Linked DNA regions of Schizosaccharomyces pombe. The protein of the gene in region 1 purifies or fractionates together with the protein of each later gene. This does not show direct contact. Each region holds a gene or a part of one and is shown in the gene's direction. Other genes may lie near its edges. The genes, in order: hsp104, cts1 and gln1.

Region 1 (11,037 bases):
ATATATACCACGGTGACTGCTTTTTGAGAGTGCTTCAGTGTTTGGGCTTGTTCTAGTTGATATACTTTTGTACTTACCAGCAGCTTCCGGAAAATGTCTCTCGTTGTTCCTGATAATGTAAGTAAATATTATAATTTCTGTTTCAACACCTTTCCCTATTATTATTGCGTTTAAATTGCATTTTTATAGCAGCTTTTTTGGGCAAAGATACTCAAGTGTGAAATTATTAAAATAATTCGTTTTCCTCTGATGTGATATTAACATTATAGTTTCAACACATTCTCCGTCTCCTCAACACTAACGTTGATGGCAAGGTAAAGGTCATGTTTGCCATGACCCAAATCAAGGGTGTTGGTCGCCGTTATGCCAACATTGTTTGCAAGAAGGCCGATATTGACATGTCTAAGCGTGCTGGTGAGCTTACCACTGAAGAGTTGGAGCGTATTGTTACCATTATTCAAAACCCTTCCCAGTTCAAGATTCCTTCTTGGTTCCTTAACCGTCAAAAGGATATCAACGATGGCAAGTCATTCCAATTACTTGCCAACAATGTTGACAGTAAGCTTCGTGAGGATCTTGAGCGCCTTAAGAAGATCCAAACCCACCGTGGTCTTCGTCACGCTCTCGACCTTCGTGTTCGTGGTCAACACACTAAGACTACTGGACGTCGCGGTAAGACCGTTGGTGTCTCTAAGAAGAAGTAAAATAAGTAAAATGATTAGCCTAATATTACTTGGATAATAAATTTCCATTATTCTTGCAAATTATAGTTTTCTGATTCTTTAAAACATCTTGCTTTATTTTGTATATTGAAAAAAATTAGGTGGATTTGTGATTTCTCATCAAATATTACACTACAATTTATTCTGATATAGAAATATATAAAAAACAGTAAATATTATTCAACATATTCAACCAACATGATTGATACTGACGCATCGACCTAAGAACCTTTATTATAACCCTACCTGAAACCACAGAAAATTAGACTTCTAATATAATTATTTGAAACGAGATAAATCCAAACTTTTAACTTCGCGCTTCAATACTCGTTGTTTTTTACTTTGTGGCACTGGTGCTTTTACATTTTCTTGAACGTAAAATTCGCGCATTAACATCACAGCTTCAGAGTAAAATAACCCTGGATAAACTGGATAGCTCGGATCAATAGATTGGCTGTCATAAATCGTAAGCAAAAACGAACTGATAAATTCACATACTCCTTGTTAATGGAAAATACGCTTCCACATCCGCCAAACCTATCGTTGCCGCATCCAAAATACACGGCTTTTATGTGAAGCTGTTTTAATGCAGCAGCACACATTAGACACGGTTCAACAGTCACGTATAAAGTGGTTTCTTTGAAAACAGATGCTGGGTAGTGTTCTAAAATTTTTTCTATAGCGATAAGTTCAGCATGTCGAATCCCCTTTATCATCGTCAGCAAAGGCATATTAAAATAAGGCTTACCGAGAGGCTGCAGTTAGTTTCATTAAAACCACGGCCTATTACTTCTCCTTTATATACAAAGACGCAACTACCGGGACTTCTCGGTTGGATAACGAAGTACGGGCCTAAATTTAGGACTTTTAGTTGTTAATATGTAGGAAATTGAGCTTACCATTTCATGCGCCAACTTCATATATGTTTCATGCTGAGTATCATATTTCACCGTATTTGATGAACTTGTTTTGTTCATTTCCGCGAGGATATCTTGAAGATGTTGGCTTACAAAAAGTAGGGCTGTGTCAATGTTTTCTTTTTGAGGGAGTATAATATCAGCGTTCTCTCGAGTCTTCCAATAATTAGTATACAACAGCAAATAAGAGTTTAACATACTGGATGAATCGAAGAGTCGTATGCAGGTTTAGACAAAGTTACAAACTAAAAGAAATTAGAATAAACCTAGAAGAAAAACCCTTACATCGTTCAAAACTTTGGTTAAGTCTCCTTTTTCTGCTTTGACCCTCTGTAAAACGCAGCGTTCCAAACGAGTATCTGCATCTTCATATACAAAAATTTTAGACGTATAGTAGGGCAGCAATTCGGGAAGAAGAAGATAGTAACCTTCGATTAGAATAATTCTATTCTGGTCTACAGGTAGCTTTATACAAGAACCATCTGGCAAACATATTTTCTCGGCTCCTTGAGAAATCAAAGAAAGAACTTTTTTAAACGCTTCAATATCGTAAGAGGAAAGTGCATACCTGTCGACAGAATTGGGATAAAGAAATGAAGTAAGATGGATCAATTTAGAAAAAGTTGAAGGTGCTGATGACTTTAAACGTTCAAGTAATTGCTCACAGAGTTGTGTCTAGTATTAAAGTATTAGAATTAAGAAAAAAATATTTTAATAAAATACCTTTCCAGAAAAAGGACCCCCAGCAATCCCAATGATTGCACTTTTCACACTATCTCCTGCCATAGTATATTCAACGCTAAAAATTTCAAATATAGCCAAATAGTAAAATATATAAATTATTACGAAAAGTTGGCAGTATAGAGAGTAAGGAATTCTATCTTCTTTAAGTAACTTTTACGCCTTGCTGCTACTGGTGGTAGCGTTGGTAGTATTTGGGCGAACTGTCCCTCCGAGGCTCTTACGCGGTTAGCCATATAAGTATACAATTATCAGTTAGAATAAATTCTCAGAATTAAGCTAATTTACATATCAATGTATTATATCATGTACTAGACTTAAATCAACAAGCTACAGCAGATGATTACGAAGTTATCTGTGAAAAATCATCACTAAGAACACAAGTTTTTCTACCCTTCAGTTTGTTGGTTCTAAAGAATTTGATTTTTTTTAAGTAAAAGCTGGTATTTTGCCTGTTTGGATATGAATGTTAGGGAAGGAGCAGTACAAAAAAGGTTGAATTAAAAAGTAAACAAAAGTATGTTTATAATGATGCTAGCTCGTCAATTGCAAAGAGATTACTAAAAGATATTGATTCCGTAATCTACTCCTCATCCTCCTCACCAATTTTTGGGGCAAGATAAAATCGTAAAAATCCGGATTCCATTTTATACTCCACAAGAAGTGGAACATCATTGCTCATTGAAAGTGTGACTCGGGTAGCTAAAGGAGTAGCCTTAGTGAACTGGGCTAAATATTTCAAAGAAAACGTAAGTGTTACAGCTTGGGTAAGAGAAATTTCGATACTTTGATCTTGGTCAGAAAGATCGGTATGTTGTTTCAGCGTGGTACTACCATTACCAATATCTCCCTTGCAGCTAAAACGAACACCCTCTTTACTAGCATTGATTGTTACTGAATCACTCAAAGTTAATAAATCTCGAGTAATGCGTTGAAATTCGGCAGCAGGCATAGTAATAGTAGCATCGTATTCGATATCTGGTATACCCAAGTGTTCTTGATCAATGTCCATTAATTTAACATCATAATCAGAGATCCTGTCATTTTTCTCGCTCTCGAAAACCAAATTCAATACCTCAGGTGTATCTTCAGCCTTTAAAGTAACCAAATCCTCGTTTTGGGCACACCGTAAGACCTTTGATAAGGCGTTCAGATTTATACCTAAAGCAATATTTCTATCACACCGATATGGTTCAAATCCATCTGATTTAATAAGCATAGAAACAAGGGCTACATGAGAACTATCCATAGCCTGCAGAGAGATACCGTTGTCATTGCAATCAAACTGTTATGAGGTTAGAGAATCATTCAAAAGAAGTTAATAAATATATTTTTTTTAAAAAAAAGAAAGGCTTTGTCGTTGAGCATCTTTATTTATATGCTGCCCCTTACATACATTAGCATCTGTAACTAACTCCTTGATGGCATCGAGAAGCTTTTTCAACAAAGCAGCCTGCTGAAATCTAGCTTCAAGCATAGTCGTAATTATATTTTATACAAGCTAGATAAGAGATATAAAGAATAGCTAACAAAGGTTACTGCAAAAACCTTTTGTAGTTGGCTTTTGGGAAGTAGTCAAAGAGCGCGTAGCACAGAATAGTGTGCGTAAAATTGCTAGCTGACAACGTAAAAAATCTCAAGAACCTTTCATATATGAGACCAAAATAGCAGTTCACGTTATTATAATTTGTTTTGTTATTTTTTTTATTTTTACAATAGCAAGTAATTTCGTCCGTACTTTTTAGATGCGTTTGATATGAAATATTATACAAAATTATGGAAAACTAACTGAAAAAATAGTATTTGCATGTTACTATGAAATTTTTATCTTTCGTTTGCTGTACTAATTCACGGTTCTATTTATGTCTTTTTAAAGAAGCAATATTCAGTTATCGAAATTTTCTAGCTATACGGATTATAATAAGCCAAATGTAATCAGCGAGTCATTACAATTTACGGCGTAAACTAGGAGAGCTTTCGCGTTCTACCTTAATATACTTTCCAGGATCAAATAAAATTTAGGCTACACTAATGTATCAAGTAAATTGTACATTTTCCATATTAGCTGCTACCGAAATTTATTAACTTATTTTCACGTTGCAATGACATATAAAATGATTGAAAAAAACGTTATTTTAATTGGTATTAACACGGAAAACTTAAAACGAATTTTATTGCTGGTTTAAATAAGACTAAAGAGGTATGAAAATAAGAATGAAGTATACTTGTTCGCTAAGGAAAAAATATGTATTCACAACAAATTCATTCGTTTTTTTTTCTTCTCAATATTCGTAGATTACAGTTACGTTAACAAGAATTCACTGTTGGTTTGTTTAGTTTATAAACCACTATGGTCAAGTAACTAAAGTTCGTTAAATGTCATTACGACGAATAATCGCTACCGTATAGAATAAGTAATGTAAGAGCTCTATCTTAGAAATAGCTTGGAAATATGACTAGAATCTCTGTAATAGAAGAACTATGTATCAAAAAATTATTTATTCAGTCATTGATGAATTCTAACGGTATTTAGCAAGATGCAATTGAGAATAAGTTGAGGTTAGTATCCGTCTTTACGTTGTTCCATACACTACGTAATACGCAGATCATTTCCGGGTTTCGAGTATTCCATGTTTAAAGACAATTCAAAGACTTTTAAGGTAACTGCATTTTTAATTTACACCGGTTTTTTTTTAAGCTATTTTTCTCTTATTTTTTTAAATCTTCTAGTCATGTCTTTGGGATTTACCCTACTTTATCCCTTTCTTTTTCTAGAGTGTAGGAGTAGGTTCGAGTAACAATGTAACTGGCATCTTCTGGTATGTTCCTTTCCTTCCCATAGTAACATCATCGTGTATATATATGCACAGCTTCTCTACCTGCGGCATCCTCAACCATCAATCTATAACCGAAGAATTTATTATAATAACGATATTAAGTTCTTATTAAATCGAACTGAAAACCGTATATATTTACCGTTCAACGACTCTCTCTTTTTTGTTTTATAACGAGCGACAAATATACAATTCCTTTTTTTTGGATTTATCTATAAATTATAAAAATTCCTATAATAATATAACTCGATATGGCTGATTATCCTTTTACTGACAAAGCCGCAAAGACATTGTCTGATGCGTACTCAATTGCACAATCTTATGGTCATTCACAATTAACCCCTATTCACATTGCTGCTGCTCTTTTGTCCGACAGTGACAGTAACGGTACTACCTTACTGCGCACCATCGTCGACAAAGCTGGTGGTGATGGTCAAAAGTTTGAGCGAAGTGTTACTAGTCGGTTAGTTCGCTTGCCTGCTCAGGATCCACCTCCAGAACAAGTGACTCTGTCACCTGAAAGTGCGAAACTGCTGCGAAATGCTCATGAACTTCAAAAAACACAAAAAGATTCTTACATTGCTCAAGATCATTTTATCGCTGTGTTCACTAAAGACGACACGCTAAAGAGTTTATTGGCAGAAGCCGGTGTCACCCCGAAAGCGTTTGAATTTGCTGTAAATAACGTCCGTGGTAATAAAAGAATCGATTCAAAGAATGCCGAGGAAGGATTTGATGCACTAAATAAATTTACTGTTGATCTTACAGAGCTCGCTAGAAATGGTCAACTGGATCCAGTTATCGGACGTGAAGATGAAATTCGTCGTACAATTCGCGTACTTTCTAGAAGAACGAAAAATAATCCAGTTCTTATTGGTGAGCCTGGTGTAGGTAAGACCTCCATTGCTGAAGGACTTGCTCGTCGTATAATTGACGATGATGTCCCCGCTAATCTTTCGAATTGTAAGCTTCTCAGCCTGGACGTCGGAAGCTTAGTTGCCGGCTCCAAATTTCGTGGTGAATTTGAAGAGCGTATCAAATCTGTTTTAAAAGAAGTTGAAGAAAGTGAAACTCCCATTATTTTATTCGTAGATGAAATGCATCTTTTAATGGGCGCAGGTTCCGGTGGTGAAGGTGGCATGGACGCTGCCAATTTGCTGAAGCCAATGCTTGCACGTGGTAAGCTTCACTGTATTGGTGCTACTACTTTGGCTGAATACAAGAAATACATCGAAAAAGATGCTGCTTTCGAACGTAGATTCCAAATCATCTTGGTAAAAGAGCCTTCTATTGAAGATACGATTTCTATCCTTCGTGGTCTTAAAGAAAAGTATGAGGTTCATCATGGTGTTACTATCTCTGACCGTGCCTTGGTTACTGCTGCCCATCTCGCTTCCCGGTACCTAACTTCTCGTCGTCTTCCAGATTCTGCCATCGACTTGGTCGATGAAGCTGCGGCTGCAGTTCGTGTTACTCGTGAATCTCAGCCCGAAGTTCTTGATAACCTTGAGAGAAAGCTTCGACAACTCCGCGTTGAAATTCGTGCTTTAGAGCGTGAGAAGGACGAAGCTTCCAAAGAACGTCTCAAGGCTGCTCGTAAAGAGGCTGAACAAGTGGAAGAAGAAACAAGACCTATTCGTGAGAAGTATGAATTAGAAAAGTCTCGTGGAAGTGAACTTCAAGATGCTAAGCGTCGTCTTGATGAGTTGAAGGCTAAGGCTGAGGATGCCGAGCGTCGTAATGATTTCACTCTTGCTGCTGATTTGAAATACTATGGTATTCCTGATTTGCAAAAACGTATTGAATATTTAGAGCAACAAAAAAGAAAGGCTGATGCAGAAGCGATTGCAAACGCTCAACCAGGCTCAGAACCTTTACTTATTGACGTAGTTGGGCCCGATCAAATCAACGAAATCGTTGCAAGGTGGACTGGTATTCCGGTTACTCGTTTGAAGACAACTGAAAAGGAACGACTCCTTAACATGGAGAAGGTTCTCAGTAAACAAGTAATTGGTCAAAATGAAGCAGTTACTGCAGTTGCAAACGCCATTCGCTTATCTCGTGCTGGTCTTTCTGATCCTAATCAACCAATCGCATCTTTCTTGTTTTGCGGTCCTTCCGGTACTGGTAAGACTTTATTGACAAAGGCATTGGCATCATTTATGTTTGATGATGAAAATGCAATGATTCGTATTGACATGTCTGAATACATGGAAAAACACTCTGTTTCACGTCTCATTGGAGCACCACCCGGTTATGTTGGACATGAAGCTGGTGGACAGCTTACTGAACAACTTCGTCGACGACCTTACTCCGTCATCTTGTTTGACGAGATTGAAAAGGCTGCTCCAGAAGTATTGACTGTACTTTTGCAGGTACTAGATGATGGACGTATCACTAGTGGCCAAGGCCAGGTTGTTGATGCCAAGAATGCTGTTATCATTATGACTTCTAACTTGGGCGCTGAATACTTGACAACAGACAATGAGTCTGATGATGGAAAGATAGATAGTACCACTCGGGAAATGGTTATGAACTCGATTCGTGGCTTCTTCCGTCCCGAATTTTTGAATCGTATCTCTTCAATCGTTATCTTTAATCGTCTGCGTCGTGTGGATATCCGCAATATTGTCGAAAATCGTATATTAGAGGTTCAGAAACGGCTTCAATCCAATCATCGCTCAATTAAAATCGAGGTTAGCGACGAAGCTAAAGACCTTCTTGGAAGCGCTGGTTATTCCCCTGCTTATGGTGCAAGACCTTTGAACCGTGTCATTCAAAATCAAGTTTTGAATCCCATGGCTGTCTTAATTTTGAATGGCCAGCTTCGCGATAAGGAGACTGCTCATGTCGTAGTCCAAAATGGCAAGATATTTGTCAAACCAAATCATGAAGCTAATGCAAACGGCTCTGCTGATATTGACATGGATGGTATTGACGACGATGTTAATGATGAAGAATTGGAATAAATGTATTTCAAATGAGAAAGTTCTAACGATACTTTATGATATAGTTTAATGATATGCTTAATCTTAATATATTTTATTTATTTATAAAAATATAGTATATAAACTTTTTAGGAAGTACTGTTTTCTCATTAAAATGTTCAATGAACTTTATCGAATAGATAGAATCAATTTAACAAAAGCTAAGTACATCGTTTTTAGTTATTAGCAATTCAAGTATGATGAAACATTGAATCTTAAATTTATCAAATAATCCATTGTTATTTACGAAAAACCTCCATTTATTTTAGTAGGTATTAATTAATGCAGTCCATTCAAGAAAGTCGAGCTTGTAAGAAAGTGCTCGTAATTCCTTATAAAATCAAAGCAGAATTAGCTCTCATACTTTTAGTAGATTTTAAATTGAATTTACATGATTAACTTTAACATTTGGTAAATCACTATCATATCATTTCATTACTTTCTACACTTGCGCATTGCATACTAATACGCATTCCAGTTCTCATGGTTCAAAGCAACGTTTAAATTAACAAGTTGTATAGTTAAACTTATACAGTGCTTTGCTTCTAATAGCCATTATTACCAGGAAATAACGAGATCACAGTTGCCCGCATACCATTAAGCTAACGAAACTTTACTGCACTAAACAAGAGACTAGCTTTTCGTAATTGTAATAAGACTTATCGAAAAGTTGAACCAGAGATCTTCAGTTCAGTAGATCATTGCCTTTCTCAAACGAAGCTTTAATTTATACTTCCTTAAAAATAATTGATTAGTCATATTTTCATGTTATACAAACTCTGTCATGGCTTCCAATCCGCTAGATAATAATATGCCGACGACTCCCGTTGAGGAAAAAATTCCAGTCGCTAGTTATTCTCCTAGCTCTTCTGGTAGTAGTTCCGGTGCTAGTTTACTAGTAGATATTATGTGCGGCAGTAAAGAAACTGAGGATGAAGAGGTTGATTCTGATGAATGGGATAAACCAGGTATGAATATCAACTATTAACTCCAATACCTTCAAGGGTACGCGCAAGTCTATTTGAATTTACAAAATTTACAATTGATCAACGATTTTGAGTTCAGGTTAGCTATGTGCTTTTCATATACTTTAGTTTATTTTAATTATTTAAAAAGTTAACGATTCCTTAGAAACAGAAAACATAAGTGATTTGGATGAACGATCCGAAATGGTCAGATATTTAAGGGCTTCAGGTAAGGAGTTACTTAATTTACATTTTAACTAGTATTTGTAGGCTATGCGAAATTCTTGGAGAAATATTTAATAGAAGAAGAGTTGCCTGTACGATCGATTTTAAAAAAACTTGGAATCAATTTGGTATGCTTACTGATTTATAACTTGCATTACATTAAATTAGCAGATTATTTTTGTTAAATTGCAATAATAATTTGGTCTACTGCATGTTTTGTTTTCTTATGACTTTACCTAGATTTATTAACGTAAATAGCCTAGTGCACTTGAAGAGTTTGAAGACATAGAGTATGCTTTTCTTTAACTTCCTTCTTATCTTTTTATCTTTTATTTTTTAAAATATCTGCTATCGATATACTAACGTGCTAATTAGTTTACTTCCTTTGCTGAAGGAAGTTTTAAAACGTGAGGTTGCTAGGAGAATCAAACTTCCACATTTTAATACCTTTGAAGATGTTGTTAATTTATTGAAAAAAGCTAAAAATGTTGTCGTCCTTGTTGGGGCAGGCATAAGTACAAGTTTGGGAATTTTAGATTTCCGTTCAGACAATGGTTTTTATGCCCGTTTGGCACGCCATGGATTATCGGAACCTTCTGAAATGTTTGATATCCATACGTTTAGAGAAAATCCAGAAATTTTTTATACTTTTGCTAGAGATCTTTTGCCGGAGACGAATCATTATTCCCCCTCGCATGCCTTCATTAGATTGCTTGAAAAGAAGAATAAATTATCAACATTGTTTACCCAAAATATAGACAATTTGGAAAAAAAGACTGGACTCTCCGATAACAAAATTATTCAATGTCATGGTAAGTATTTATTTTCCGATTTGCATCTCGAGCACTGGTGATTTTGTCTAATTTGATTATATAGGGTCTTTTGCTACCGCAACTTGTATCAAATGCAAGCACAAGGTGGATGGATCGGAGTTATATGAAGACATAAGAAATCAAAGAGTTTCTTACTGCAATGAATGCGGAAAACCACCCTTAAAATTAAGAAGAGTCGGTCAAAATAAAAAAGAGAAACATTATTTTTCAGATGGTGATAGTGAATCTTCTGAAGATGATCTAGCTCAACCTGGGATTATGAAACCTGATATCACATTTTTTGGGGAAGCCTTACCGGATTCTTTCTTTAACAAAGTCGGGAGTGGTGAGCTTGAAGAGACTGATTTATTAATTTGTATTGGAACTTCTTTAAAAGTGGCTCCTGTTTCAGAACTCATCAGTGTTATTCCTCCTACTACTCCTCAGATTTACATTTCGAGGACTCCTGTTCGTCATACCCAATTCGATGTAAATTTTCTAAGTCCTTATTGTGATTGGGTTATTGTGGAGATTTGTAAACGTGCTGGATGGCTGAATGAATTACAAGCGCTTTGCGATTTACCTGAGTGTCATAGTGGTTCCAAAACGCGAGCTTTCGAAACGGATTTGGATATAAAATTTGAGGAGCCCAGCACCTATCATATCACGAGCACAACAAACGGTAGTTGTTAATTTTAGGACTGATCGATCTATCGAAGTTGAATGTAGAAGCAAATATATTATATACATATATCGAGTATGAGAGCCAGATTATTGGACATTAACTTATTATCCGTTTGAGACTTCTTAGTTTTGTAAGTGCCATTGTTAAAA
Region 2 (9,993 bases), on another chromosome or scaffold:
GCCGTCTTGGTGGCGCTAGGGCGTTCAAATTGGATTTTCGCGGTTTGGGTTTCTCCAGATTTCTCGGTAGAGATGTTGGACACTTTACCGCAGAAAGAAAAGAAGTCTGAGATTTGTTTCTCAGTAACTTCAGGAGAGATGTTCGTTACAATAACTTGGTTGCTCATTACTTTTGTTTCAACTGGTAATATGGAGATTCAAAGTACGTTGAGTGCCATGGAGGCTGCTTTTAAGTAGTGATCATCGATGACGACATCCTCCCAATTACGATTAGATTGAGCCCAACGAAAAAACCACAAAAATGCAAAATTTCCTGACATTTCTAACTTGCCCTTAGCCTATATCACGGAAAGTTGACTTTGTGCTGCTTTGTTAATGCCACTACTTCATACTTTAAATCTGATATTACATTAATGAACGTGTGTTTTCAAAAGATTGCAATTATCGCGATAAGTGAGCCTAAATCAAAATGAAGCTGAAAATAGATGACAATTATCTTTTTATCTGAATATCACGATACAATTTTTATTGGTCACTGTAAACTAAATAGGATAACACTTAGATACTTTGCTGTACTCATGATTTCTTGACTTGGTATACTAGTTGGCTTTGTTCGTTGCATGGCAAAGTGCATAAATTGTGGAAAAAATATCCATTAAATTGCTATTACGAAGTAATTTCCGCTTCTACTATGTTTCGATAAATTCATAAACTTAGGACCGACATTAATTTTCCCGATATCGGCATATCCGGACAGTGAAAACTGATGTTTCTAGAAAACCGAATTTGCTGGATCGCCTTTACGGTCTTTCTAAAGAATGCGAAAGAAATATATGAATAGATTACCTCGCTTGTTCCTTTTCTCATGTTAGTCATCCAAATTGTTTCTTATTGAATAATGAGCAAAATTATCAGGTATATTGAGAAGGCAAGAGAAATATAAATGTTAGACCTACAATAAGTAAAACAAAGATAAGTTAAAGGCTTTCCTTGCTTCAAAGCATTTTTTAATCTATTTTCTCGATCTTACTTCCTCAATGTACATAGGTTAACAATATTTATATTTTACATTTGGGCTTAAGCTGCGTATAGAGAAAATAAAATATCATAAATATCATAGGTATATTGCTACAAAAGATAGAAATGAAAACCTCTTTTACAAGTAACTGTGTTATATTTACGAATTGGTGATTTGAATAAACCGTTGTACTTGAAGTTGGCACCTCACCTCGGAGTTTGTTGGTGTTTTATATTGATTAACCTACAAAGACACTTAGTCTAGTAGAGATTGTGCTTTGAATTTGTAAAAGACAAGAATCACCTAACTAGCCGCTAACCTGGTAATGTAACTGTGAGCGGATTATATGGTTACATGTTTTCTCACTTCCACAAACTTCACAAACACAACGATGGCGTCGAAAGGTGCTTATAAACGGGTATGGATTTATAATTTTAAGCTTCTTCTAATTATTTTAGTTAATGAAAGAATATCTAGCTCTTCAGAAAAACCCTGTTGAGCTTGTTGACGCTAAACCTGCAACTGAAAACATTTTGGAATGGCATTATATTATCACTGGCCCTCCGGACACTCCATATGAAGGAGGACAATATCATGGTATGTTTCTTTTAAATTTCCTTCTGTAATCAATATGTGCATGAACTTTTGGCTGTTGCCATCCTTTGCTAACTTTGCGTACAGGGACATTGATTTTTCCTCCCGATTATCCTTTTAAGCCACCTGCAATTCGCATGATTACTCCAAGCGGACGTTTCCAAACGAATACCAGACTTTGTCTTTCTTTTTCTGACTTCCATCCAAAATCCTGGAATCCCTCATGGATGGTTTCTACTATTCTGGTGGGACTCGTTTCTTTCATGACTTCTGATGAGATTACCACTGGAGGTATTGTAACTTCGGAGTCTACCAGGAGAACTTACGCAAAGGATACGAAGAGATTTAACATTATGGATAATCCTAAATTCTTAATAATGTTCCCCGAGTTAATTGACAAAAATAGGGAAGACATTGCCAAAGCAGCTGCTGAAGCGGCCCTAATCGAACCCCAACAAATTCACTCCACTCCTGTATCTTCCAATGAATGCAAGAAGAATGAACCGTTTAATTCAAAGCAAAGCTGGGTTAAAAGTCGCTGGAGCATAGCAGTTTTGGTGTTTTTTGCCCTTGCTTTAGCTCGTTTTTTTGGAGCTGATTCTTAAGATGTTATGCTTTGTATTTATTTTATTAACTTATGAAAGCGTTTTTGCATTTGATCCTCCGATAAAGAGATTAATGCCAAATAGCGCTTTGCCGTCCTTATATGTTTATTTTTTTTCTTTCGTTGCCTGTTGCCCCTTCATCTCTGCATCACATGTCGCGCTTCAATTAAAACTAAATGGAAGTTAATCTTTGTTCTAGTTTCTTTTTATAGACAATTGTCTCTTAGCAATTGCTTGATTTTTAGCTTACTAAACTACATTTTTTTAAATGTCGTCAAATGTTATTAAAGCTTCGACATTTCGGTAGAAAATAAAATTAAATTTTAGTTACTCAATTCATTATTTGTGATTTTCTTCAATCACTATCCAACTCGTTGCATATCCAGCGGCCACAATATAGGCCCAGCCTGGTAATTGAAGAGTTTTTGCATCATAAACATCTCTTTTATCATCATTCGAGGCATTTCCATGCTCATTCCAACCGTATATTAAAACACTTCCTTTCTTTGTCCTTAAAATATTGTGCTCAGTTCCACTGGCGATTTGGACGATATCACTTGCTTTTGTATGGGCCTTCTGAGCACGATCACAACGACCAAAAGCATAGACACAGCCTTCAGTACTTAATAGACTCAAGGTAGACCAGTTTGCTGATATAGAGCAGATGGAAGAAGACAATTCACTGTTATTTGCTTGCCAAGCATCACATTCTGCTGCTACATTCCACTTCTCCCCTCCTAAAACAATTACATGTCCTGTTTCTTGCAATACTGCACTGAACTGTACACCACATACAACAGCTTGAGCATGTTCAATACGCCCGAGAAATGAAACCTTGTTAACTGTTTTCATAACTACCGGTCCAAGTTGTCCTTTGCGGCCATCTCCACAACCATACAAGTTCCCTTCATTTGTAACACAAATCCAGTGTCTTAATCCAGCCGAGATATCAATAATGAACTCTTTATCGTCAAGGTAAGGAATGTCAATTTCCCTCAAACCTTGACTATTACTGCGATTCCCTTGACCCAATTCACCGGAAAGTCCTTCACCACATGAACAAACACGTCTTCGATCAGCATGTACTATAACGCTGAATTCCCAACCACAAGTCAGGAAAACCCAACGCTCATGACTAACACGGGTGAATATCCGTAAATAGTCTGGACTTAGGGGATTGTAAAGAGGTTCTTTCACTTCATATCCACATTGTCCCTTGCGATTATCACCACAAGCCCATAGTTGAGAATCCTCATCTAACAATAGGGTGTGGTTTCCACCACATGAGATTTTTTCAATTGCACGGTCAAATGGCACTATCTGTGGGCTGTAAACATCCTCATCATTGTTCAAACCAAGTTGGAAGTTACCATTTGAACCTAAAGATAGCAGCATAGAAATATTAGTTGTGGGTTTCTAAAGTGGTGGCACAATGGAGGTTTGTAAAATTTCATCTTCAGTACGATTAGTTTTTAATTTTTAGAATAATGTGAAATACATTATTTGGAAATTCCTATCATTTCGATTTATATTTGTGGTAACGATTTTCTCTTAAAAAAATTTTCGCCAGCGCTTAAAAATTTGTTAGCAACCTAATTTTTCTCTCCTCCACGTACCACCAACTTTGGAGCAAACATCAGGGGACAGCCAATATGAAGTACGTTTTAGTATCTGGAGGTGTTATTAGTGGTATTGGAAAAGGTGTAATTGCCTCTTCCACTGGATTACTGCTAAAAACCCTAGGATTGAAAGTTACTAGCATCAAGATTGACCCTTACATGAATATTGATGCTGGCACTATGTCTCCCCTTGAACATGGGGAAGTTTTTGTTTTGAATGATGGCGGTGAAGTCGATTTGGATCTTGGAAACTATGAGCGCTATCTTAATGTTACATTAACCCATGATAACAATATTACAACTGGAAAAGTGTATTCTAATGTCATTCAGAAGGAACGTCGCGGTGATTATCTTGGAAAAACAGTGCAAATTGTTCCTCATGTTACGAATGAAATTCAAGACTGGGTGGAGCGTGTTGCTCGAATTCCAGTTGATCAAAGTGGTGAAGAACCAGATGTTTGTATTGTTGAACTCGGTGGTACGGTTGGCGATATCGAGTCTGCTGCTTTTGTGGAGGCCATGCGTCAATTTCAATTTCGTGTGGGTCATGAAAACTTTGTATCAATCCATGTTTCTCTTGTCCCTGTAATTAATGGCGAGCAGAAAACTAAGCCTACTCAACAAGCAATTCGTGATTTGCGTAGCTTGGGCATTACTCCAGACTTGATTGCTTGCCGCTGTAAACAACCTCTTGAGAAATCTGTGATTGATAAAATTTCTCTTTTCTGTCATGTTGGTCCCGAACAGGTGCTAGCTGTGCATGATGTCTCTAGTACATATCACGTTCCTCAACTGCTTGAAGACAAGCTATTGGAATATTTGAAAATTCGTTTCGCACTGGATAAGATAAGTGTATCTCGCGAACTCGCTCTCGCAGGCGAGAATATGTGGAGCTCGTGGAAACATTTAACACAGGGATACGATCATCTTTTCAAGAAGGTCACCATCGTCCTCGTAGGAAAATACACTCATCTTCAAGATTCCTATATATCAGTCATCAAAGCATTGGAGCACTCTGCTATGCGCTGTGGTCGTAAACTTGACCTCCAATGGGTAGAAGCTTCTCATTTGGAAGCTAGTACAAATACTAGTGACCCACTTAGTTACCATAAGGCATGGCATTTAGTCTGTTCTGCCAATGGTATCCTAGTGCCTGGCGGATTCGGCTCTCGCGGTGTCGAAGGGATGATTGCCGCAGCCAAGTGGGCTCGTGAAAATAATACACCCTACTTGGGCATTTGCCTTGGTATGCAAGTTGCCGTTATTGAATTCGCGAGAAGTGTTTGTGGAATTGAAGGTATGTTTTTTGATGCTTTTATTGGACTCCATTTTAAATTTTTAACTGCCTTCTATTATTTTTGGGATCTATAGATTCCATGCACTTACTAGAGGTTTTTGTCATTTTCCGTTGACTCTAACTGTAGACAAGTGCTACATGAATAGTTAAACAGTTATTATTAATTGGAGCATATTTTTTATTTTGCTTCTTTCAAAAGATTTTTAACTAACATTTCTAGGTGCATTTTCTGAAGAATTCGATAAGGAATGCGAAAACAATGTTGTTGTTTATATGCCTGAGATTGATAAGGATAAACTGGGTGGAACTATGCGTTTGGGATTGAGACCTACCTTTTTCCAACCCAATTCCGAATGGAGTAAACTTCGTAAACTTCATAAGATGGTTGATGAAGTTTTGGAAAGACATCGTCATAGATATGAAATAAATCCTGCGTTTGTAAGCCGTTTGGAACAAGGTGGAATTTCTTTCATCGGAAAAGATGAACGTGGTGAGCGTATGGAAATTATTGAGAAACGTGACCATCCTTACTTTGTTGGCGTACAATACCATCCTGAATATTTATCTAAGCCACTTAAGCCCTCCCCACCGATTTTTGGATTGGTTGCGGCCAGTGCTGGCTTGTTGGATGAATTTATTCAGTCTGGTGAGGAAGTCGAATGGAGCAACTTTTCTCATTTTAACGCTGAATCTGCCTTAGCTGACATGAATGACTCTGTTGAAGTTACTGAAGAAGCCACTGTCGTCACCATCAGTTAGAAGTAGGTTATATGGGATTCCGGGAATTAGGAAATAATGTGTGTTTGTTGGTGTGTTTTTCTTTATCTATAGGAAAAATTGGGTTCTGGGGTGTTGACACTATTTATCAATTGTTGTTCTGCTCAAAAGCTTTCTTTTGATGTATCCAGTAATTTTGCAACTGAACCGTTAGTCTAATTAAGCTTAACGTTATAGAGACTATCTAGAGATATGAAATGACTCTCAGAACTTCTGAGCCATTTTTACGGTTATTATATTGTAGACATTTAGAGTAATGCGTTTTGAATGCTCATTACGTGTGAGTTAATCACAGAGGCTCTGTAACAATGCATGCAAATACTGTGTTTAAAATACAGTACAAATGACATAAATCTATTAGCATATGAGGTGCCGTAGTACTGTATTAATATAGATCGATACTTTTCGAAAAGCGCTATTAAAGTATTTACGTTGATTTGCATAGGTAATAAATATGTCAAGTGTACAAGCATACTTGCAAAAAGCACTTCAGTACGTATCAATCGTTGAAAACTGTAGATAGACTTATATATTTTTATATTCGCTACGCCCTGTCATTGATTTAGCCATTAAAACATTCTAGAAATACCTTACGTAAACTTTGACAGTAATTAAACATTCAAGTTGCAAAAATTATTTCTTAATAAGGTACGAAACTCACCCCAGTTCCTATTGTAAACAACACGGACTCAAAGTTCAAATAATAAGTAGAGCCTCGACATTATTATAACGAACTGTAATTCAGCTACCTTATTTGCCTTTGGCGCAACTCGTTGCGTTGACAGCCATGAATATTTATTTGTACAAAGTTAGGAAACGCGATTGTCTATTGCACGCGTTTCATTTTTAACCATACACCTATGTTTGGTATGGAGCAATTTTGAAAGTCTTCTTCAAACTTCGATTTAATTTTTAGTGAATCCTAGTGGGAGAAAAGACAATAATGGACGATCTGAAAGAATTGGAGTATTTATCCTTGGTATCTAAAGTTGCCTCTGAAATTCGAAATCATACTGGTAAGTAGTAGGCTTTAATACTCATTTTTTTATAAATAATTAACCAAATCTAGGAATTGACGATAATACTCTTGCAGAATTTATTATTAATTTGCATGATCAGTCTAAGAATTACGATGAGTTTAAAAATAATGTCCTTTCATGTGGAGGAGAATTCACCGACAGTTTCCTTCAAAACATAAGTCGATTAATTAAGGAAATTAAGCCTAAAGATGACATTCCCACTGATAATGTAAATAATGGTAGTAACTCGGTCAATGGAGCTTCGCATGATTTAGATAGCAAAGATGTTGACAAACAACACCAAAGAAAGATGTTTCCTGGCTTAAGCATCCCAAATAGCACGAATAATTTAAGGGATAGACCAGCGCTTATGGATAATGCTATGGACGAGCTGGAAGAACTTTCGACGTTGGCCAAAACAAGGAGAAACGATAGGGATTCTAGGAGGGATGAGCGGCATTACCTCAATGGAATAAGGGAACGTAGAGAGAGATCAATTAGTCCCAGTTTTTCGCATCATTCACGTACCTCAATTTCTGGTCAATCACATTCTAGTCGATCATCGCGTGGTCCATTGCTAAATGCTCCAACATTGTATGGAATTTATTCTGGTGTTGTCTCAGGTATTAAGGACTTTGGTGCCTTTGTAACTTTGGACGGCTTTAGAAAGAGAACTGATGGTTTGGTTCATATCTCAAATATCCAATTAAATGGGAGATTGGATCATCCTTCAGAGGCTGTTAGCTATGGACAACCTGTATTTGTAAAAGTTATTAGAATTGATGAATCAGCAAAGCGAATCAGCCTGTCAATGAAGGAGGTGAATCAAGTTACAGGTGAGGATTTGAATCCGGATCAAGTTTCACGTTCTACAAAGAAGGGTAGTGGAGCAAACGCTATTCCATTATCAGCCCAAAATTCTGAAATTGGACATGTGAATCCACTTGAAACGTTCACTTCAAACGGTCGGAAGCGTTTAACATCACCTGAAATATGGGAGTTACAGCAACTTGCTGCATCCGGTGCAATTTCCGCTACGGATATTCCTGAACTCAACGATGGATTCAATACTAATAATGCTGCGGAAATTAATCCCGAAGATGATGAAGACGTAGAAATCGAACTTCGTGAAGAAGAACCTGGATTTCTCGCAGGACAAACCAAAGTTTCATTAAAGCTATCTCCTATAAAAGTTGTAAAGGCCCCGGATGGTTCATTGTCCAGAGCAGCAATGCAAGGGCAGATTTTAGCAAATGATAGACGAGAAATAAGACAAAAGGAGGCAAAATTAAAGAGTGAACAAGAAATGGAAAAGCAAGACTTATCCCTCTCATGGCAAGACACTATGTCGAATCCTCAGGATCGGAAATTTGCCCAAGATGTGCGAGACTCAGCTGCTCGTCAACTTACTTCTGAAACTCCCAGCTGGCGTCAAGCAACACGAAATGCAAATATATCCTACGGTAAAAGAACAACACTGAGCATGAAAGAGCAAAGAGAGGGTCTTCCAGTTTTTAAACTTCGTAAACAGTTTCTCGAGGCTGTCTCAAAAAACCAAATTTTGGTTCTACTCGGTGAAACCGGTTCCGGTAAGACCACTCAAATCACTCAATATCTTGCTGAAGAAGGTTATACCAGTGATAGCAAAATGATAGGTTGTACTCAACCTAGGCGTGTAGCTGCAATGTCTGTTGCCAAACGTGTAGCAGAAGAAGTGGGATGTCGTGTTGGTGAAGAGGTTGGTTACACTATTCGTTTCGAAGATAAGACCAGTAGAATGACCCAAATTAAATATATGACTGATGGTATGCTTCAACGAGAATGTTTAGTTGATCCTCTTTTGTCCAAATATTCTGTAATTATTTTAGATGAAGCACATGAAAGAACCGTTGCAACTGATGTACTTTTTGGACTGTTAAAGGGAACTGTTTTGAAACGGCCAGATTTAAAGCTAATTGTTACTTCAGCCACGCTAGATGCTGAGCGGTTTTCGTCTTATTTCTATAAATGCCCAATTTTTACGATTCCTGGGCGTTCATATCCCGTCGAAATCATGTATACAAAACAACCAGAAGCCGACTATCTTGATGCTGCTTTGATGACTGTTATGCAAATCCACTTGAGCGAAGGACCTGGTGATATATTAGTATTTCTGACAGGTCAAGAAGAAATTGATACTAGTTGTGAAATATTATATGAAAGAAGTAAAATGCTAGGAGATTCGATTCCTGAGCTAGTTATTTTACCTGTTTATTCAGCGCTTCCTTCGGAAATACAAAGTCGTATTTTTGAACCTGCTCCCCCAGGAGGTCGTAAGGTAGTAATTGCAACCAACATTGCTGAAACTAGTTTAACAATTGATGGAATTTATTATGTGGTGGACCCTGGGTTTGTCAAGCAGAGCTGCTTTGATCCAAAACTAGGCATGGATTCTCTAATAGTTACGCCAATTTCTCAAGCACAAGCTAGGCAAAGAAGTGGTCGTGCAGGGCGTACAGGACCCGGAAAATGTTATCGTCTGTATACTGAAAGCGCTTACCGAAACGAAATGTTGCCTTCCCCGATTCCTGAGATACAACGCCAAAATTTGTCGCATACTATTTTGATGTTAAAGGCAATGGGAATTAACGACCTTTTGAATTTTGATTTTATGGATCCTCCACCTGCTCAAACCATGATAGCCGCCTTGCAAAATCTGTATGCACTGTCGGCCTTGGACGATGAGGGATTGCTGACTCCTCTTGGGCGAAAAATGGCAGATTTCCCGATGGAGCCTCAATTGTCAAAAGTATTGATTACTAGCGTAGAATTAGGTTGCTCTGAAGAAATGTTGAGTATTATTGCCATGCTTAGCGTACCTAACATTTGGAGCCGACCAAGGGAGAAGCAGCAAGAAGCTGATCGACAACGAGCACAATTTGCAAATCCTGAGAGTGATCACTTAACCTTACTTAATGTGTATACGACTTGGAAAATGAATCGTTGCTCAGATAATTGGTGTTATGAACATTATATCCAAGCCCGTGGTATGCGTCGAGCTGAAGATGTACGCAAACAGCTTATT
Region 3 (9,898 bases), on another chromosome or scaffold:
TGTAGCTATGTCGGGAGGCGTGGACTCTAGTTTTTCGGCGTATTTACTAAAAAGTCAGGTAATTCGCAATTCTTTAAATTGACTCTAAAAGAGAAATGCTTTGATGTGAAAGATTTTTGAAACTTATTACTAAACTTTGGTTTAGGGATATAATGTGGAAGGTGTTTTTATGCGTAATTGGTTAGATGAGGACTCCGCGCCTTCTGGTTGCCCTGCTGAAAGAGATTGGGCAACAGTCCAAAAGGTTTGTAAGAAGCTCAATATATCGTGTAGACGGTTTAATTTCGAAAAAGAGTATTGGAATCTCGTATTTGAGCCTAGTCTAGATCTGTATGAAAATGGATTAACTCCCAACCCAGATGTATCTTGTAACCGACAGGTAAAATTTGGAGCGTTGTTCGACGCATTGAAAAAACATTGTGAAAATAATGTCAAGGGTGACTGGTGGCTGGCTTCTGGTCATTATGCAAAATCGGTTGTTAATATTGAGACCAACGAATCCCACATGTGTATTCCGACTGACAAGCGTAAAGATCAGACTTTATTTTTATGCACAATCCGCAAAGAAGCTTTAGAAAAAACCATTTTTCCTCTACATAATTGGACGAAAGAGAACGTGAAAAAGCAAGCAAGTTCTGCAGGCTTCAAAGAAATTGCTGAAAAGCAAGAAAGTCAAGGACTCTGTTTTGTTTCGCCAAATGTAGGGAGAAAATTCAGAAAATTCCTTCAGAGATATTTGAATTTTTCTGATAGGCCGATAAAAGTCATTGCAGGAAAAAATGTCGTTGGAGAGTTTTCAGGAAATCATGGAATATGGAGCCTTACTGTTGGTGAACGCTGTGGACTGAGTTTACCACAAGCTCAATCTGAATACTTTGGGAGATGGTATGTATGGAAAAAGGATATTAAAAATAATGCACTGTACATATGCCGTGGAACGAATAATGAACTATTAATGAGTAAATGCATTTATTTAAAAGATTGGAAGTGGTGTGGTACTAAGTTACAAAACCTTGAAAAAAGTGCTCTTTCATGTTTTGTAAGGGTACGCCATCAACAGCCATTACAACCAGCTAAGGTGACTTGGAGGAACCCTGAAAGTGTTAAAATACATTTTCAAGATAAACAACGAGCCGTTACTCCTGGTCAAGTCATTGCCGTGTATGTAAACGATGTTTGCTTGGGTGGAGGGATGGTTGATACTGTAGAACCTGAAAAAGATTTTGATTGATGAGTGTTTTATTAAAATAAACGACCAGCTAGTTATTCAAAAAAAAAAATTCTAGAGGATAGAAATAAAATGAAAAGAAGTTTTTTTATTAATGTGAGTAAGAATCTTTGGTATGTGATTTACTGAAAAATAATTATTACAGTTGGACTTGATTTGCTTCAAACAGATTATGCTTATACCTTCACTTTTTCACTATTTACCAAAAAATGACAAATAAGGTGTTAATAGTGTTAGTTCTAACCATTTATATGTACGCCCATTCCAGTAATTGAGAATTAGGAAGTATGTTATGGTGGTAAACTGGTGCTGCAGTTTGTTTTTCTGAGAAGTAGAGGTTTTCGAAAATCCGATTTTAAAAGGGGTTGATAAGTTCGATTATCTTCAAATTACAAACCGATTACAATGCAAATCACGTTTACAGTGCGAATCATAACCAAACTCCTTAACCCCACATATCGTCGTAGTTTGTTCTTACTAAGAATGGTACTATATTCAAACCGCAATTTATCTGGTACACTTGAATAATTTTATACTCGGAAAAAAACTTTTTGCTATAACGATATCTGATAAAAGTAGCTAATAAAAAGCTAGGATCCTTTTGAATGGGACAATAAACCAAGCATGTTATCAATTTGTTTCCTACATGAAGTGCCACGTTGCACTTTGTTAAGAGCTTTAATAAATGTATAAAATAGATAGATACATACAGCGTATTCTATAAAAGCTAATTGATTTAAATTTGCAAAAGCACTCAAATTTCTATTGTTTTTGAAAAAAGAACATTCATTTTATAGGTCTAGAAGATATAGTTTAAAACATACCAATGTAAAGTGATAGTATAGAGGAGTTTACTTTGTCAATAGTAAAGCATGCACTACTGTGGTTACTGCTAGAAACGAGCATGCACCAAAAAATTTTTAGATACATTACCAATTTTTTTGGCAAATTCTAATCGTCTATTAAAGAAATTCTCGATTTTTTTGTGTTTTTTGAAGGTTGCGACTATGGGGCCATTGTTTATTGTTTATTGAATAGTGAAAGATAACAACAGAATCAGACTATCTTATAATGAAGTTAGTGCTACAAATCGTTATGTTTAATTTTTTTTCGCTTGCTTGCGTGGAAGCTGCTAAAATTAAAAGGTAGGACCGCCCCCACTGAAGCTACTCTATCCCACATATCGCATTGATGTAGTTAATCTGTAGTTCGTTATACCGTAGATTATGCCCCCACACAGTACTGATATTGGTACATGCTAGTTGATGAGATCTAAGGAGCTCAGAGTGAAGCTAAACCAAGTGGGGGAGTGTGCGATTTTGAACTAAAGGTGATTTTGATTTTACGATGTTTGGATAATTTGTCAGCTTAACCCCCCAAAAAAATATTCGTTTATAGTAAATACCAGTAAAAAAGGTATAATAGTAAACTGTTTCATTACGTGACAGCAATCATAGCAATCATGGAGCAAGAAATCAAAGTGGTTTAAGAATTTTAATCAATTTTTGAAATGTAAACATCCGGAAAACGCATAGGAGAAGAAGTACTTGAACAAACCTGTTTAACCATCCTATCCTTTTACCAAGTTCTTACCGTGGAGCTCTCATGGAACAAAAAGACTGATGGAGGACGGTAGTGAAAAAAGTACCAAACGACGACGCCGAAGTAGCGATTCTTGGTGGGTTTCATTTCCTCGCCTTGTCGTAAGTATCAACTGAATGGAAGAAATTTGTGCGAATATTTTCGCCTGAATCAGAGTCGTTTAGCCCAAATAGTTGTATTTATAGTCGTAGTCGTAGTTTATGACACCCTGGTAAAATAAAAGGAAATTTTTGGATTAACATGTTTCATTGGAAATTGATGTTATTTGATTTGCGCGCTCTAGTTTATCCGGTGTTGCAAAAATTTCGCTTCCATTCTGTCGGGTTTATTATAAAGAAGGGCATCGCATGTTGCTTATGCATTGTATCGTAGTGTAACGAATTGCTTTCAGGTTTACCCCCAAAGCCGCCTCCACGGGAACGCCCCACGGCAAAACCGCAATCGATGGGGCATGGTGTCATGCCATCCAAGTGGGAAAACAAGGGAGCGCACAATGGAGTCCGAGATGTCAAGAGGCAAGCAAGAGAGGGAAAACAGATGAATATGATATTCATGCGGCCCAGTCCATGGAGAAGCATATAGCATTTTATTTTCTATTTTTTTTTTTTTTTTTTTTTACTTTATTTTTATTATATTTCTGTTTTTTTTTTCTTTAAATCTATTTATTTACTTTTTTTTTGCGCGCAACTGAAATTAGCTTGTAAAATAAATTTGCAAAGATCCATGCGATTTATCAGCAATCTTTTCGTTTCTATCCATCGTTTGACTATATGAATGCATTAACAATATCTCAGCGACCCTATCGCTCTTCTCTATTTTGTTGCGCTACTCTTTGTTTTCATTCTACAGTTTTTGTTAACCTCGTTCTTATTGCTAACCTCACTCATATTGACTGTGTTAAGACATGCCCTTGATGGAACTTGTCGTGCCCTGGTATTGTTACTTCAATGTTAGTCTAGTCAACAGCTGGCAACACATAGCTTCATTGAATCCTGATAAGAAGCCCCTCCTCATCTAAAAAAAAAAAAATTAAAATTAAAACACGCTGAATAGTCAGCGTCTAGCTTTCCTATCCACTATTATCATCGTCGCATACGTCCACACTTGGTTGGGGTATCTAGAATACCAACGAAGAACTGCCTACCTAGAGATAAAGCAACCCAACCTAATTACCTACTTAGTAGCAAAAGTAAATTTAGACTATCACACATTTGAGATAAACTGATTATTTACAATGACACCTTGTTAATTTTAATTACACAACATGCAATCGTAGTAATAGCAATGTATATCTTCAAGGCAACTCGTTATGAAGCTTCATTTCTTTAAACTGATATCCTCGTTCTCTATATCTCTCTCTCTTTCTGTGTGTGTGTGTGTGTGTATCAACTCTCCCTTTGCTTTGCTCATACATGCAAGCGAACACATGAGCACCCATCATACCCAGCCTGCTCTCTCTCTCGCTCTTTACGCGCTCCGAAAATCTCCGTAATTGCAGCAACGATGACTTGCGGTGTCCAGCTTTTCCGGGTTAATTCATGATAAAAAAATGGAAAAAAGGCGATCCCTGGCACTATCTTTAGGCGCCTTTTCCGCCAATCATTCTAGATAAATTATCTTCCATATCATTCATTCGCTCCATGATTGGCCCATACTTCCAATCATCTGTGATATCTTGCATTCTGGACAAGAACCCCCCAATCAAATGCTGCCCATCTATTGCAACCCTTACCCCAAACTCTTTATCTACGCCGGTTTCCTCGTTAACGGAGTGTTGGAGGACGAGGTGCAATTAACCGGTCGTGGTATATAAAGTGAAGGCGCGAGTCACCTTACTCTTCTCCAAATAACATTTTCGAAGCCAAAAAAAAATTTCCACCCTTTTTTGTTTCGTTTCGTTTCGTTTGTTCGGCTTTCTTTCTTCTAGATTTGTAAAGAAAGATTTGATTGTGTAAAACGAAAAAAACGCTGTTATATATTTGCTTTTACTAGTAACATATATAATTCACGCTCCTACACATATTTTATTTTATACATATAAATTTTTTTTGGGGGGTTTTCTTCTTCTCTACACGGTAATTTAGATTAAACTCGGTATAATTGTTGCCTTGGTTTAAAGTTACTTTTTTTTTATTCTTCATTAATATACTTCGTTCGATATCCTTATCTCGGTTTTTCGATCGTTGACAAATTTTGTTAATCCTGGTTTACAGTAATCGATCTATTGTTTTGTAACGGGGTTTTCTTCTGTTGCTAGTTTTCAAATTTCCGTTCTCTAGACTTTCGTTTTTTTTTATCTTTTGTTTTTCTACCTTTTTTTTCCCTTTTACTTTCAATATGTCTCAATACGACGTTGAACCTCTTCTCTCCAAGGCTGCTATTTTAAACAAGTATGCCGATCTTCCTCAAAATGGTAAGGTTATGGCTGAGTACATCTGGATCGATGGTTTCAACCATCTTCGTAGCAAGACCATGACTCTCGATGCCAAGCCTTCCTCTATTGACCAATTGCGCGTTTGGAACTTTGACGGCTCTTCCACCGGTCAGGCCCCCGGCAACAATTCTGACACTCTTTTGAAGCCTGTTGCCATGTACAATGATCCCTTCCGTCGCGGTGACAACATTCTCGTTCTCGCTGCTTGCTACACCGCTGATGGCTCTCCCAACGGCTTCAACCATCGTGACGCTTGCGCCAAGTTGTTGGAGAAGCACGCTGACAAAGAAACTTGGTTTGGTATTGAACAAGAATATACCATGTTGGACTACTATGACCGTCCCTTTGGCTGGCCTAAGGGTGGTTTCCCTGGTCCTCAAGGTCCTTTCTACTGCGGTGTTGGTACTGGCCGCGTCTTTGCTCGTGACATCGTTGAGGCCCATTACAAGGCTTGTCTTTACGCTGGTATCAACATTTCCGGTATCAATGCTGAGGTTATGCCTTCCCAATGGGAATACCAAGTCGGCCCTTGCGCTGGTATTGAAATGGGTGACCAACTCTGGATGTCTCGTTTCCTTCTTCACCGCATTGCCGAAGATTTTGGTGTCAAAATCTCCTTCCACCCCAAGCCAATTTTGGGTGACTGGAATGGTGCTGGTTGCCACACTAACGTTTCTACTAAGGACACTCGTGCTGAAGGTGGTATAAAAGCTATTGAGTCTTATCTCGAGAAGTTTGCCAAACGCCATAAGGAGCACATTGCTGTTTATGGTGACGACAACGACTTGCGTCTTACCGGTCGTCATGAAACTGGTTCAATCGATAAGTTCACTTATGGTGTTGCCGATCGTGGTGCATCCGTTCGTATCCCCCGTTCTGTCGCCATGAATGGTTGCGGCTACTTTGAGGATCGTCGTCCTGCTTCTTCCATCGATCCTTACCTCGTCACTGGTATCATCACTGAGACCATGTTTGAGCATTAGACAATTTTCCCTCATAATTTAACGTGCAGGTCACGTCGACCACCCAGTTATTAACCATTTTGAAATATGTGTTTAAGTTTTTATAATATCACGTTTTTGTTTGTAGGACTTAATGAGTTTGTTGTGTAGTAATTTTGTTTATCAGCTTCACTTTTTTGTGATGTTTATCTTTTTTTAGAATATTTCATATGATGCATTCGTTGCAGTCATTTTTTTAAAGTATCACCATTTATCAACTGAGCTTGTTGCTCACCTTCTTATAATGATCAAGAGTGTTTTCATTGCGTATGTGAGGCTTTGATACAACCTTGGATTGTTCTTTTCTTGATATTCTTATACTAATATTAATGTTTCTCTTGTTTTTTTTTACCCAAGCTGTCCCTAAGTACAAGTACTTTACGAATCAGTTTGTCAACAACCCTGTTAATTTTTTTAAGTATTTTACAGTATTCACACAAGATTACGAATTTTTGAAATAAAACGATAGCTTATTCTAGACATGCAAAAATATATCTTTTTTGGTTGGTTACTTGTAAATTATCAATTGTGAATAATTAATGCATCTTTATTGTAAAGCTGATTCCATCCATGAAATCCATTCTTCAATGTTCGACATTTTTGCAACGCTGCCAGGAAGGAATTTAAGATCAGTATCTTCAATCTGATCTGCAACTGATTCCCAATCGACATCTTCAGAGACTATAGATTCGAGTTGAAGATTTTTCTCTTCCAAAATATTGTGCAGTTCAGCTTTTAACAATTGTTGAATTTTTTCCGCAGGTTGAGCAGTAAAAAGATCAAATTTATTACAGGCAATTAATAGATGAGGGACATGATGCTTGCGACATTTTAAAATTGTGTCAAACAACATCAATCCAACCTCGTGCACATCCCTGTCAATTGTAGCACTGTTGAGAACGAAAACTACAGCTTTTACATTATAATTTCCAGAGAATTTAGTAGTAATCCAACGTTTGGCCCTGGGATGCCCTGGAAGATCTACTAACCAAGCACCATATTTCCACACAGCTTCATTAGGTTCAATGCTAGGAACTGTAGTTTTCTTTTCTTTATAAATTAGCTATATAACAGTTAATAAGTATTCAAAGATTGTATATTATTGTTATACCTCACAAAACAAAGACGTTTTTCCAGAATCGCTAGGTCCAATTAAAAACACTGCTGGTAACTTCTTTTGAATTGTCTTTCTAGTAAAAAAAATTCCTAGGGTAGATATAATAGCTCCTATAATTATTGTAGCTACAATAATTTTAAAAGCTTGAGAAGTTCCATCCATATGCTGTTGTTGGTACCAGTTGGGTGTGTAGAAGATATATGTCAAATGTTACAAAGACCTCATTTTCATACGATCGTTGATTAAGATATATTTTTCAGAAGAGAGAAATAAATGTGAAAAAAAAAAAAAAAAAAAAAAGCATCCAAACTAGTTCTCGAAGTTTTGTTTAAAAAAGACAATTCTCGTACAGATTGCAGCAGTAGAGATTGACTGTACCCTCTTTTGAATTTAATTAAAACAATACAAAATACATTTTTCCTGAATGTATTACATGAGATAATTGCTTGATTAGACCAATCTTTGTTAATCGTCAAAGTATACATTTATATCATCGGTTCTTTTGAGTGGAATTAATTGTTGTGGGGCATCTTTAAGTTGTGAATTTGTGTAATTAGACTTATTGAATATTTTTGCTTCATTGTTTGCTCAACATTATTTATTATAGAAAAGTTCTTTTTGTTAAGTGATGACAATGATATAAATAATGAACTTCACGATTTTTTATTTTAAAATAATAAAACTATAGAATATTTTACATTTTGAAAGATAAGATTGCGTTGTTGTAATACTACTTCAATCCAAGTTATACTGAAGTTGCTGTCTTTCAGTCGAAGAGCTACTTTTATATCTACCTTTTTTACATTGCAGACTTGCCATCCCCCAACCGTAGATTTTGCTGGTTATATTAATTCCTTTTTTAAAGAGTCGTCTAACTCTCGTTATTAAATTGTGATACGAAGATGCCTCTTCCAGTACTTCGAGTTAAGCGTAAAGCTTCAGAAGATCCTGTTAACGCCCTATGTACGACCAAGCTTCTAAGTAAACTTTCTTTATCTAACTCCTTAATAATTTAGATTTGGAACTTGGAAACAATCCAAATTCTGTTTCAAGTACGAAAAGAAGGAAATTCGCCGGACGATATTGTATGCTACTTCTTGAGCTTTTGTGTTGGAATATTACACAAGGACTAATCATTTGAAAAACACAATTACCTTTTATTGACAGTTTCTAGATTTTAAACTATCACAAACGCTGAAGCAAGATGATCGGTATATTCAGATAAATGATGAATCTTCGGAACCCACTCATGAAGACGTTCGAAATATCCACAGTCATACAAAAATATCATCTCTAAAAAAGAACAATTACGGAATCCCTGTCGTCCAAACTTCTGAAGACGTTGTGAAAGCACCTACGCACATGGACTTGGGATCCCGTGAAAATACAAAAGGTATTCTTTCTTTCTCATCCCCACGCTATACAATTCAGAATTTACCTTCTACTCAAAGTAATAGAGTGTTCGACGCTATCCGTGTCGAACAAGGGTATGTCAACATCAAATAGAGTCAATTACTTAGTTCTGTTGTTATAAGAACTGGCTCTTGGCTTTTTTTACCTTAACTAACATTCATAGACATACTACGTATCATCCGCATCCTCAGCTAGATTCTATGATTCAAGAATATTTGTCAAATGGAGACCTTCCTCTTCAGCAATCTACGGAAGACTACGTATACGATATTTATGAAGCATCTAGCAAAGAACCAAACAAGCCAACGTTTGCTTATGGTGTAATTGATGCTTTGTCCATCCCAGACGCTTTTCGTTCTTCATTAGAACAGGAACTAGTCTCCGAGACAGTGGACTCTGATAAAGATGATCCATTACATGATGAAATTGATGAGGATTCAAACGCTGAAAGCTTCTATCAAAATAGCTATCCCGATGAAGACGAATGGCAAGATAGCAGTGAAAATGATGAATTTGCTTACTCCGATGATGCTGAGCAAGACTTTTATGATTAGATGTTTGCTACTTAAAAAAACGAACAAAATGGAAATCGGTTACAGTTTAATAGGTGAATGATATTATTTGGAGAAATTTATATCAGGAATTTAGTAAATTGTTCTATTGTATTTTTTAAAAACTCATACATTATATTGTGTCTGGGTAATATGTGTAAATTTTAATAGCATTACTATTTAGTTATATCATAGGATTCAATATGAGCCATGTTATTCATGAGTTTGGAGTCCACAATTTTGTGACTTGCAAAATCCTAGCACCAAGTTCTTGAATTTGTAGCCAGATTTAGCTACATCATAGACAATATGTCGACTAAAGAAGCAACTTCAGAGACTGCTGTCGATTATTCTTTGAGTAATCCTGAAACCGTCAATAAATATAAAATTGCAGGCGAAGTTTCTCAAAATGTTATTAAAAAAGTGGTAGAATTATGCCAACCTGGAGCCAAAATATACGATATTTGCGTTCGTGGTGATGAACTATTGAACGAAGCTATCAAGAAAGTATATCGTACCAAGGATGCTTATAAAGGTATTGCTTTCCCTACC

Evidence for each region.
Region 2: the proteins of hsp104 (region 1) and cts1 purify together in Schizosaccharomyces pombe (affinity purification with western blotting, with the first as the bait; one study listed by BioGRID). This does not show direct contact.
Region 3: the proteins of hsp104 (region 1) and gln1 purify together in Schizosaccharomyces pombe (affinity purification with western blotting, with the first as the bait; one study listed by BioGRID). This does not show direct contact.

Annotation. Positions count from the first base shown.
Region 1 is NC_003423.3:3,609,505-3,620,541, reverse strand, and holds hsp104 (heat shock protein Hsp104), read left to right. Parts: upstream 1-5,272; 5' UTR 5,273-5,465; coding exon 5,466-8,183; 3' UTR 8,184-8,277; downstream 8,278-11,037. Other genes in the region: rps1801 (40S ribosomal protein uS13), read left to right, coding at 94-117, 270-704; pcn1 (DNA polymerase delta processivity factor), read right to left, coding at 2,964-3,665, 3,777-3,857; histone deacetylase, Sirtuin family, NAD-dependent Sir2, read left to right, coding at 8,986-9,169, 9,333-9,395, 9,437-9,519, 9,650-9,681, 9,767-10,203, 10,268-10,896. UniProt on the Schizosaccharomyces pombe protein: Required, in concert with Hsp40 and Hsp70 and small Hsps, for the dissociation, resolubilization and refolding of aggregates of damaged proteins after heat or other environmental stresses.
Region 2 is NC_003424.3:1,207,345-1,217,337, reverse strand, and holds cts1 (CTP synthase Cts1), read left to right. Parts: upstream 1-3,827; 5' UTR 3,828-3,869; coding exon 3,870-5,133; intron 5,134-5,353; coding exon 5,354-5,892; 3' UTR 5,893-6,143; downstream 6,144-9,993. Other genes in the region: RNA-binding protein Vip1, read right to left, coding at 1-167; ubiquitin conjugating enzyme Ubc6, read left to right, coding at 1,410-1,436, 1,477-1,615, 1,700-2,217; RCC domain-containing protein Ats1, read right to left, coding at 2,557-3,612; ATP-dependent RNA helicase, spliceosomal Prp22, read left to right, coding at 6,854-6,926, 6,980-9,993.
Region 3 is NC_003424.3:1,592,841-1,602,738, reverse strand, and holds gln1 (glutamate-ammonia ligase Gln1), read left to right. Parts: upstream 1-4,674; 5' UTR 4,675-5,167; coding exon 5,168-6,247; 3' UTR 6,248-6,666; downstream 6,667-9,898. Other genes in the region: slm3 (tRNA (5-methylaminomethyl-2-thiouridylate)-methyltransferase), read left to right, coding at 1-58, 146-1,231; SPOM_SPAC23H4.05C (uncharacterized protein), read right to left, coding at 3,115-3,408; signal recognition particle receptor beta subunit Srp102, read right to left, coding at 6,813-7,328, 7,377-7,544; RNA polymerase II nuclear import protein Iwr1, read left to right, coding at 8,285-8,345, 8,399-8,467, 8,557-8,869, 8,959-9,349; peptidase family curved DNA-binding protein Cdb4, read left to right, coding at 9,656-9,898.